Arabidopsis thaliana: one gene and its partner. The protein of the gene in region 2 interacts with the protein of the main gene of each other region in a pairwise test. Each region holds a gene or a part of one and is shown on either strand. Other genes may lie near its edges.

What was found. The genes of interacting proteins can lie anywhere in the genome.
Region 1: the proteins of AT4G02725 (region 2) and WNK3 interact in a protein complementation assay, tested with the Arabidopsis thaliana proteins (one large-scale study listed by BioGRID).

The regions. Positions count from the first base shown.
Region 1 is NC_003074.8:17,871,992-17,877,209, forward strand, and holds WNK3 (with no lysine (K) kinase 3), read right to left. Parts: upstream 3,540-5,218; 5' UTR 3,230-3,539; coding exon 3,161-3,229; intron 3,088-3,160; coding exon 3,050-3,087; exon of another isoform or gene 2,946-3,049; coding exon 2,718-2,945; intron 2,640-2,717; coding exon 2,416-2,639; intron 2,337-2,415; coding exon 2,179-2,336; intron 2,096-2,178; coding exon 1,930-2,095; intron 1,777-1,929; coding exon 1,648-1,776; intron 1,560-1,647; coding exon 1,021-1,559; 3' UTR 829-1,020; downstream 1-828. Other genes in the region: CYP71A26 (cytochrome P450, family 71, subfamily A, polypeptide 26), read left to right, coding at 4,580-5,218. UniProt on the Arabidopsis thaliana protein: May regulate flowering time by modulating the photoperiod pathway.
Region 2 is NC_003075.7:1,201,885-1,208,211, forward strand, and holds AT4G02725 (spindle pole body-associated protein), read left to right. Parts: upstream 1-2,128; 5' UTR 2,129-2,660; coding exon of another isoform or gene 2,661-3,929; 5' UTR 3,930-4,170; coding exon 4,171-4,442; intron 4,443-4,968; coding exon 4,969-5,110; coding exon of another isoform or gene 5,111-5,116; exon of another isoform or gene 5,117-5,322; coding exon 5,323-5,406; 3' UTR 5,407-5,552; downstream 5,553-6,327. Other genes in the region: AT4G02715 (flocculation FLO11-like protein), read right to left, coding at 286-903; AT4G02720 (Ras-induced vulval development antagonist protein), read right to left, coding at 2,661-3,929; WDR5b (Transducin/WD40 repeat-like superfamily protein), read left to right, coding at 5,875-6,327.

The sequences.
Region 1 (5,218 bases), on a different chromosome or scaffold from region 2:
AAAGTGACAATAATAGGGTTTAAGCAAAAATGCAATTTTCCTGAAAATTTAGGGGTTTAACTCCTGAAACGCTGCGTTTTAATGCTGTGATATGATATTTTCAAGTTGGTTTATTCTGGCTTGGGCTTTTAAGCCCATTTATGCCAGATATTTGGGTCCAGTCCCGGAATCGCTTACCAACAAGAACAATTTAACTTAAATTACTTTTCGATTTTAGTTCTTATGAAAATTGAGGGCTTTTCTCGGTGCCCTAGAATTGATCGGAAAAATGTTTTCTTCATGGCAGAGCAAGGGAGTGCATGCTTCGACGGATCAGAAACCAATTCCTGAACAAGTATGAGAATTTAGTTTATTTCAGTTTTTGTTTTGATTATTTATTTGCTCTTTGTAGTTTTGATTGGATCCCTTGAGTCCTTGACGCTGCCATATGCTTATATTTGCTTACTCCCTGAAACGCTTTCTTTCCTATAAAGATGTTTTAAGGTAGTTTTATGAAATTTTGGGCTTTTAGCCCATTTATGCCAAATGTTTTGGTGATTAGGTTTATTATCTATGAAACCCTAATATATTATCTTGAGGCATACGCTATTTAAGAAACACCAGTACCCATTAAACCTAATAGGCGAGAGAGAACAAAATATGAACCGCTCTATATCTTCTTCTAAGATTATGAGAGGCGAGCATAGATCATAAGACAACCTTATTAGAGTCTCTGCAAGTGAGTCCAGTGAAGACGAGTAAGGTTCATAAGAGTTGGGTGAAGAGGACGAGGCTAGCTCAGAAGAATCAAGTGAATAAGAACACAGTGATGTGACCTATCATCACCGCGTTCTTTTCTTCTCCCAGACTCTTCTGAGCTAGTTACGTCTTCACCTAACTAATTCAAGAAATATTATTTGACAAATAGTTTTCCTTCAATCATAACTGTCACAATTTTGTTACACATTTACTTACCTTTAGTACAACATAATATTGCAAACCAAATTAATCTTGACGAGAGTGTGTAATGTAAAAAACGTACTAACACAATAAGTTATCAGAATCTTTAACTTGCAATCTCACCAAAGCCTCTTCACAAATCTCAGGAGGAAACTCTTTTAAGAACTCAGTAACAATACGTTCTTGATCTCTCTGCATCTCTTCAATCTCCTCTCTCTGTTTCCTCAACAAAGACTCAAGTTTCTCTACTATAACCCCAACTTCTTGATTGATCGGTCCTTGTGCTGACGACAACTTAGAATTAGACCGTGGCGCAAACGGTGAACGTGAGTCTCCAGCTCCAGCTTTAGGAGAGGACCAGAATTTTCTCCCTGAAGGAAATCTATCTAAATGGAGCGTCTCTGGAGAAGACAAACATTTTTGTACCGCTGAATCATCACCGATAAGTCGAGAAGGGGTCCAATCGGGGATGTGTGAATGTATCTCTGTGTCGATCATTTTAGCTATCGTTGAGATGTCTTGATCATCGGTTAAGTCTAGTTCTTCGACCATTTCGATGGCGACTGAGAAAGATGTGTCTGTCTCTATGTTAAATGGGAAGTGGATATTGCGGATTTGACCTGTATAAAAAATGTTATTATTGTGTCAAAAGAAGATTTAGTAATGATCTGAAGATTTGTAATAAAAAAAGCAAAAAAGATTTTGAACCTTTGGAATCGGTGATACGTAGTTTTAGGAAGATTGTGTTGAGGTCTTTACGTTGGCCTTCTACGGTTAATAAGCCTACCTCAGAATCCGAGAGTTTATCCACGATTCCGTTTCCGTTGTAACCATTTTCTGTGACAATGTTATTGAACTTGGTGTTAGAAAATTTCACATAGAAAAAATATAGAAACTATCTTATGTTACTATTATTGATTTTAACTTTTAAGAAAGGAGTCCATGACACTTCATATTGAGATGAAATGAAATACCATAATCTGATATTACCTTTGTGAGAGCTGACGTTTTCGGTATTTTCCTTGTAGCATTTCAGAAAAGGATCATCAAGTAGTTCCTTGGCTGACAAGCGTTGCGAGACCTTTGCGATACACTTCTCTATGAATGCTCTCACTTGCGGATCAGTCACATTTAAAAGAGCGGCTGGTTTGATTCCCTAAGAAGCATTGAGAAAAATGGATCGACAATATGGAAAAAGTCATTCTTGATTGGATATGAGATGGGAATATGATCACTTACCGATGTAACTTTCCTATAAATCTGAGCAGCATTTGTGCATTCGGAATACGGGTATTCAAAAGTTACCAGCTCAAGCAAACACATTCCAAACGCGTAGATATCGACAAGTACATTATAGTCCTCTTCATAGAGTTCCGGCGCCATAAATTCAGGAGTTCCTTAAACAATTTCAAACACAAAATTATAGTTTCACAATGGAGAAACTTTTTCGTTTGAGAACAAGATTAAAGATCTCACCGATGACGCTATGAGCAGAGCGAGCGCGGTGCAGAATCGCGGCTAGCCCTAGATCTCCAATTTTGACCTCACCTTGGTTCCCATTAATGAAAATGTTATCACATTTAAGATCTCTATGGATCACAGGAGGATCATGGCTATGTAGATAAACAAGCCCTTCTAAGATCTGCCTTGACCATTTCTTCAATGCTCTTAGATCAACACACTTATGTTTCTTCCGGTACCTATAAGGGTTTGTCAAACATGAATAATATTGATCAAATAAAAAAGATTTGATTTGACTTCTGAGAGAGGAATCTGACTGTCTAAGATTTCCGGAAGTGAAGACTTCGGTGATGAGATTGATAGTCATGTGTTGGTGATCGATCCAAGAAGTGTAGAATTTGATGATGCTTTTGTGTTTAAGGGTTTTGAGTAAGTGAACTTCAGAGTAAAGACGATCTAAATCCTCTGAGCTACAGAATTTATCATCTAACTTAACTTGGTTCCAAGCCACTTCGATTCCTTCAAGTTGGTCAAATGCTCTGTATCTGAAGAACTCTCTGATCAAAGAAACCCTTTAGTGACTGTGTCTTGTCCGAATCTAATCTGATTTGTCTCTGTAGTAATAACAGAGATCTAAGAAAAAGGATACACTTCTTTGAAAGCTCCTTTGCCTAGAACTTCTTTATACTGAAAACATGAGAAACAAAAACATTAGAATTGAGAAAAAGGTAACACTAAAATCAAGTAAAGAAGAACAGACCCGGCCATAGCGACCAGTGGGATCAATCTCAACGAATTCTTCCTCGGAGTTATTCTCGTCTTGTCGCATTCTTGGTTACTTGCAATTCAAAACAGATGATAGGAGTTCTTGAGAGAAGAGAGAAATTTAGTCAAGGAAGAACAAGTTTTGAAGCAGTTTCTGATAATAATAATAATCATTACTTAGCTGTCTTTTTGTGTATAAATCGATTATTTAGATTTTGTGCCATTAAAACCAAGCTTAAGCTTTTCCAGCTGCTGATCATAATGGTGTCGACTGTAGAATGTTGTACACTCTCTCTCTTTCTCATCTTCGAATTTAGGACACTCAGATCCACTGGACAAGACCACGTGGCAAAGGTGTGGGTCGTTGCTTTTTTCGCGCCATGGATCTGGTTTTTTATTTGATTTTCTTCTCATTTATTGTCATGTTACTCTAATCAATTATTTTGCTTATTCAGTCAACTTCATGGTGTTGTGAATATAAAATATTCGGACTTTTTTTTTCCCCTTCTTAACTCTTAAGTCACTGTTTTAGCTGACTAAGAACCCTATAATTGACTATCCTACAAATCGAATAATGGGTTTGGTAAATTACAAAATGTTTAGCCATTGAACCCGCTTGTCATGGTAACGAATTCGATTTTACTGTGTGTAAACAACAATTTGGACTTCAGCTTCAGTTCTTTTAAACTTAAGGAAACTTTTCACTAAAGGGTTTTGCTCTCTCTCTCAGGATTAATAGAATAATAGTCATAGTTTTTGGTGAAACATAAATATTCAATGTTGTTACACTTTAAATAGAAACTTGTACTGACACAAATCACTACACTAATGTTATGATCATTTGTTATAATCTATTACTTCTACTTATATCTCAAAATATAAATGTTTTACATATTGGAGACAGAATGTTTGAGACGAATTAGGACATTTAAATTTTCATGGAGAATTGTTTGTTGAACAATGTTGTCGTTGTATTTTTGATGAGTATGAATTGGCGGTTCAGCCGTTTAAAAACCGATTATATACAATGATCATCAAATTTTTGTAAGGCCCATTGGGCCCAGAGTATATAAATCCTTAGAGCTGACGGCAGCCTGAGACCATTATCCTAGGCACTTGTATTGTATGGTGGTAAGACACATCGTGGAAGCACCGAAAGACTAGAACGGTGACACGACCAAAATAAGACATAAATCGTAAACGCACCAAATGACTTTCACAAGGAAAAATCTCGAAGAACTAAACATTAAAAGACTGGTGCATGCATAAATACATAAGTCCAAAAGATTGAGTGGACAGTAATTACGTACTAGTACTACCGTGAAGAAACTTGGCTTGTATATGTAAGTCCAAAAAAACCACAAATAAAAACTCTTCACAAGAACACGTTTTGATGTACTTGAAGAATCCAGACATGATGATCATGTTCTTTCTGTTATGCTCAATAATCTTTGTAGTTACCATCATAATTTTCAGAAAACAGAAGAGAGGGAAGAAAAGAAACACACTTCCGTCACCACCGGGACTACCGTTGATCGGAAACCTTCATCAACTCGGCCGCCACCCTCACCGATCACTATGCTCTCTCAGCCACCGGTACGGTCCTCTTATGCTTCTTCACTTTGGCCGTGTCCCCGTTCTTGTAGTATCTTCAGCTGAATTGGCTAGAGACGTTTTGAAGACGCATGACCGTGTTTTCGCAAGCCGGCCACGGTCAAAAATCTTCGAGAAACTTCTTTACGATAAGCATGATGTGGCCTCAGCTCCTTATGGAGAGTACTGGAGGCAAATGAAAAGTGTGTGCGTCCTCCATCTATTCAGCAACAAAATGGTACGATCCTTTCGAGAAGTGAGAGAAGAAGAGATCAGTCTGATGATGGAAAAGATCAGGAAATCGATTTCTTTGCCGGTAAATCTAAGCAAGATCTTGGTGAGTTTAACTAACGATGTGATATGTAAAGTTGCTTTGGGACGGAAATACGGTGGTGAAACGGATTTTAAGGAGTTAATGGAGAGACTAAATAAACTATTGGGGACGTTTAGTGTGGGGAGT
Region 2 (6,327 bases):
ATGTTTCTACCCACTATAACCAGCTATTCCATCATTAATAACACACCACCATTACTTGAATGTTTCTACTCGCTATAACCAGCTGTTCCACCACTAATAACACCCCAATCTGCACCAGGAGATCCAGTAACTGCTGACAAACTCCGAGTCAAGACTGCTTACGTATTCCTTTACCATCACCATTAAAAGCTAAGAAACAAACTCAAACCAGCTTGGTGACTAACACCTTATTTCTATGTGCATAAAACTAAAACTAACCCCGTTCCCCCTAAAGGCTCCTGATCTTCATTCATCTGCAGTCTCAAGCTCAAGATTGAGCATGCGACGCAGTGTCATAGTGGCAGAGACAGTACTACGAAAAGGATTGTCACCAGATGAGGTTGGAGAAACTGGTGCAGACTTAGCAACTTCACGAATATCAACAGCAGAGTCAGGAGCAGGAAAGGTCAAAGATACCGTCCTCTTTTGCTGGAGAGAAAACTTAGGAATCGGCACAGAAGCAGGTGGAGGTGAGTTAGAGTAAGTAGGTCCTGCCCATAGCTCAGAATAAGAAAGGCTTCTCCTTTTGTCAACAAACTCACTAGAACACCTACGGATCTGAGAACCTCTGCAATTAGCAATTGGAATGGGACTGGTTCTACCACTGTCAACAGATGGATGATGAAAAACCGGTAAAACGGACTTAGGAGAACGAGGAGACTGAACTTGAGAAAGAGCTCCTTTGGTTAAAGGTGTTGAAGAAGTTCTCTTAGGTCTTGGAAGCAAACCCACACCAGATTGAAAAGTTCTGCAATTGATCTGCCTAAAAGTTTTGGAAGGAGCTGATCTAAAACGATCATGTCCAAGAGATTTCTTCCCATAATATTGATCCCTATGTTCCACAGCTACAATAAGCGTTTCCATTTCGAGATACTGTCAACAGTAAGAAGCTTTCACTACAACAACACACACCTAGTCGCTTAACTAACGCAAGAACACTTTGTGTATCTGATCAAAATCAAAATCTTTTCACTCCTTTCTCAATCAAAGCTTGATTCAAAGGGAAAGCCTTGTTGATAAACCAGTAAGCGTCTCTGAAGCTCACAGGATCCGAAACCCAGCTCGTCTCGAAAAGCTGAAACAAACAATTGCAAGCCAGAGAAATGGGGGAAAACCAAGTAAATCATCACATACAAAGAAACAAAGCGAAATGAAAAGATCAGATCCTGAAAAAAGGAACATATAAGACAGCTTCCATAGAGAAATTCACCTTTAAAAAGAGGTCCTTTTGATAGTGATTGGTGAAGAATCTAAAGACGATTCGCTTCAGATCATACAGAGAGAGAAAGAGGAAGCTCTAGAAATGATTTTTATCTTCACTAGCGGATGAGTGATGTGTAAAAGAATATCTTCTAGGGTTTTTAAGCCTCCATGGAAATGAAGATCCTACGGATCTGAGAAATGAGCTTGATAGAGACGAAGGAGAGAGAGAGAACAGAGCAGTTGTCTTTAAGTAGGCACAGTTACTTCATGAGTCTGCTGAATTGAAATTACATTAATACCCTTTACTATATTCAGTTACCATTTTGTCCTTCACGTTCTTTACTTGAGCAGAGTAATAATAATTAAACTATTTTATAAACAAAGCAATTAAGGATCACTTAAGCGTCTTGCTCATAAATTAATTTAATTATCATTCGTTTCGTGCATGAGAAGAGGACCTTTACATGACATTTCTTTGATAATTTTTTTGTTTTTAAATACTATTTTTAAGCTTTGAATAGTAATACGAAAATGCTAATCTCCTCTAAATTGAACAGATGTCGTTTTCTTTGTCATTCAATTCTTAACCAAAATCATTTTGCTTCTTTGAATGATTTATATGTTATTATTTATGAAACGAATAATAGATTATGGACTAGGTACTTGGTAGGGTCTTCTATTGAGATAGTGCATTTATTGAGAACAGATTCAGACATTGTATAGTTCCACAAAAGTGGAATCATAAACTATAATTGGAACCCTTGCAGGTAATTTACCAATAATATGATCTGCCTGCAAATTCGGATATTATTGCAAATTTTATCTGCCTCCAAATTCCGAAATTATTGCACTTCACAATTATAGAGATCCCCAATAATATATATAAGTACTTGTTTTGTTTCACAGTTCTAAAAATAGAATGATGATAATAATGGTGACAATGATAACATTGATGATGATATGACTGGATTCTTAACAGACAAACGCAATGATATGAATACAGAGGGAGGAATGCATAATCTGTGAAGCTCATTAAAGGACATTATTCGAAAATACAGTGGTGGGCTCAAAGCGGATATCCTAAATAATTGATTGTTCTACAATCTCAGAACTAAGTGAATGCCCTGCAAAATTCAATCATCGAACATGACCTAAGGTAAATGCACAAGAACGGTTGCAGATCCTCAGTGTCAGAATCTATTATCTTTGACACACAAACACAATCATGTGATACATAGCAGATTAACGCATAAACTATGAAGCTCATTAACGGATACATAGCAGATTAAAGCATAAACTACGAAGCTCATTAACGGGCAAGTAGCAAACAGCAGTATCTATGATGCAAATAAGGAACATTCAACAAGATAAAGCATAAGATGAGTACCCACATAACAGAAGCAGGAAGCCAAGCAAAATCAATCATCATCTTCTTCAGTCTTTCCAGCACCGAAAGGGTCATGATTTGGCCCCACCTCTTCTCCCATATGGCGCTGCACAAGCCGCTGCAGATCAGACATAACCTTAGCCTCGCGCTTCGCCTTCTCCTCGTAGTTAAACATGGCCAATGCCCGTTTGTCTTCAGCACTGTAAACCTGGTTTTCTTTTCTAATACGAATAGCATTCATCCTTTGATGCCTACTTCCACTCATCACATAACCAAGATCCTCAAACTTCTGAATCTCTTCAGCGTTAAGACCCACTTCTCCTCTACGTGGGATACGTTTACCTTGCTGAACATACTGTGCAATGGCGTCTCCTTCACCGGGTCTTAAAGCACCACCATAACTGATGTGACCTTCAGCTTTAGGTAATGGCATTGGACCAACATCACCTTCTTCTTCCTCTTCATCAACAGCTGAAGATTTCTTCTTTAATTCAATCATCTCTTTGAACTTCTTCAACTCTTCTTCATCAAGTTCTAGCTCAGTGTTCTTCACCGTTTCGTCTACTTGCATCTTCGAATCTTCCTCAGTACCATCGCTGTCACTCCCTGACTTCGTCTTCTCTCCCTTGCTTCGTTTTGAACTAGAATCCGAAGATTTCTTCCGCCTCTTGCTCTTTGACTTGGTATCTTCTTCCTCCCCAGACGAAGAAGCACTAATCTCAGCTTTACTATCTTCATCGCTGCTCTCATCAGAGTCACTGTATTTCGTCTTTCTCCTATGACTTCGCTTTTTCCTAAAACTACGGCTGCTTCTACTCTTCTTCCTCTTAGAAGAACTCTTCCTCCTTCGTCTCCTATCTTCCTCTTCCGAATCACTCTCACTCCCTTCGGATTCACTATCGCTGTCATAAGATCTCTTTCTCCTGCGCTTAGACCTCGAGCTCTTACTCTTCCTCTTCCTAGATCTCAAACCATCAGATTCAGATTCCGAGTCAGATTTACCTTTCCTTTCTTTCCCTTTCGAATTATCATCTCTTTCGCCGCCGTTCTTGTCCTGAATCTCGTCGGCGTTCTCATCGGAATCCTCGTTCTGATCTCTAGGTGGACTCGGTGTGTTCTCCCAAAAGCAGAACTTGGCTGATTTCCTCATCTTAAGCCGTTTCTGCCTCCTATACTCTTCGTGACTCAATCCCTTCAATTCTTCATCGGAATCTGAACCAGATCGTCTTCCGTTTCGATAATCTCGATCCAAATAGCCATGATTCTTCCCAAATCTCCTCGGAAGCGAGTTCATCGTCATTCTCGAATCCCTAATTCACTCCGACGACGACAATGAAGAAAACAAAATCTAAGCAGCTGTCTGATAAATTAGGGCTTTGATTCATATACAGTATCTGCGCCTTTTTACTTATTGGGCCCTTAACGAATAGGCCCAATATTTATCATTATTCACCACTGAAAATCATGTTTTGATTTTACACAAAGCACCCCACATTTTAATTAGAGTCAATCGAGTCCTCTATCCTTATCGTCGTCTTCAGATGGCAAGTCTCTCCATGTCCGCCGTGTCTCTGTCGCCGTTTCGGCCTCAAACAGAGAATCTTCTTTCAAAACTCAGTTTCCGAACGAACTTACACTCGTTCAATCTCAAACCAATAAGGATTAGTACGAAAGTTAGAAGTTTTGGTGGGAATCGGAGAGAGCCGAAGGATTCAAGATTTGTCGATGAAAAAGGCGTAGTTGATGACATGGAAGGTTTCTTAGACAATCTCTCTCTCGAATACGACTCTGTTTGGGACACTAAACCCTCTTGGTAAATCTCATTTAAGTTCCCAACAATTTTATTTCAAGTAGTTTGGATTTGGTCCTAAGACTTATGAGGAATCGTATTTGTTGGTTGTGAATATGGGATTATAGCTTAGATAGAGTCTTAAGTTCACTTTTAAGTGGACCAATCCTTAATCTTTATTAGCATTTTCAGTGATTTATGCCTGCCCAAGAACTTTTTTGAATCATATATGAAGCTATATATTTATTGATGCTACTTAAAACAAGACTTACCCCATTACAGTTTCATGATTGTGTGTTGTGGTTTAGAAGATAGAAAGAAAAAGTTTGAATCTTTTGGTTAGGAAGATAGTGAAGAACCAAAATACAGATTATGTAATGGTAATTGGGTTAAGAAGGGTTTAACATTTCGACCTCAGCATCTACAGCTTTGAATATCTATTGATCTGGTGTGTATTTGCAATCAAGAACTTTACGGTTCTTCTTAGACGTTTTCAGGGCCTAGTGTTCTTCCGTATGGTTTTGAATAAGCAACTGGCTATGTTTCTCAGGTGTCAGCCATGGACGATAATGTTAACGGGTCTATCAATAGTGGCATGTAGCTGGGTAATACTACACTCGGTCATAGTTTCATCGCTTGCGGTTGGTGTAATTGGTGCTTGGTGGTACATATTCCTTTATAGCTACCCAAAGGTATGATTTTCCCTTCCATCATCTAACAACCTCTCCTTTTCATTCCCTTACTAAAGAAATGTTCGTAGCTCTAATTTACTAAGTCTAAGTTAAAGTAAAAATCCTGTTTAAACATCTTCAGACAATGCTAGTTTCTATAATCTTAGTGAACAAGACTTTACTTTGGTCTTGTCTTTGAGATTCTGGTGGTTTTTTCGTGTACTTTGGTTCAGTCGTATTCAGAAATGATTGCTGAAAGAAGGAAACGAGTAGCTGATGGTTTTGAAGATATTTACGGCAAAAACAAGCCTTCATAGGATCTTCTCAATGTTCAAAATTACATTCGTTTCTTGCATAAATCTTCCCTTCTGTTGTGTGTATAATATAACCATCATCTATGGATTTATCTCAATTTCATTCACAGATGTTTGGATACATAAATCTTGATTTCAGAGTCCTCTAATGTAGTGGGCATTAAAATCGAATTGAACCGATTATACAAACCGAAATTAACCCAAATATACCGAAACCTCATTACTGAAACCAACCGAATAAAGTGCCTTCGAACTAAATAAACCAAACGAACCGGACCAATTTTAGTTCAACAAAATCGACAAATTCAAATCGAACCGAACCGAGCCGAAGAACCACCAATACGAGAAATGAGGAATGAAGGGTAAAAATGTAATTCCCAAGAGGTCATGGTCAACGGAATGTATATATATGTAACGGTGAGAGATTCATTGAGATCATCTCCACTCTGCTAAATCCGACGAGAGACGACGATGCCAAGCGGTGGTAACGGAACAAGTAACGGAGTCGCTAACGCGAATTCCACCGGTAACGCAGGAACAAGCGGAAACGTTCCGATATATAAGCCATACCGTCACCTGAAAACCCTAGAAGGTCACACGGCGGCGATCTCTTGCGTCAAATTCTCCAACGACGGCAATCTTCTCGCTTCCGCTTCCGTAGACAAAACCATGATCCTCTGGTCAGCAACAAACTACTCTCTCATTCATCGTTACGAAGGTCACTCTAGTGGTATCTCCGATCTAGCTTGGTCTTCTGATTCGCATTACACTTGCTCTGCTTCTGATGATTGTACGCTTCGAATCTGGGACGCTAGATCTCCTTATGAATGTCTTAAGGTTCTTAGAGGTCATACGAATTTCGTCTTCTGTGTTAATTTCAATCCTCCTTCGAATTTGATTGTGTCTGGATCGTTCGATGAGACG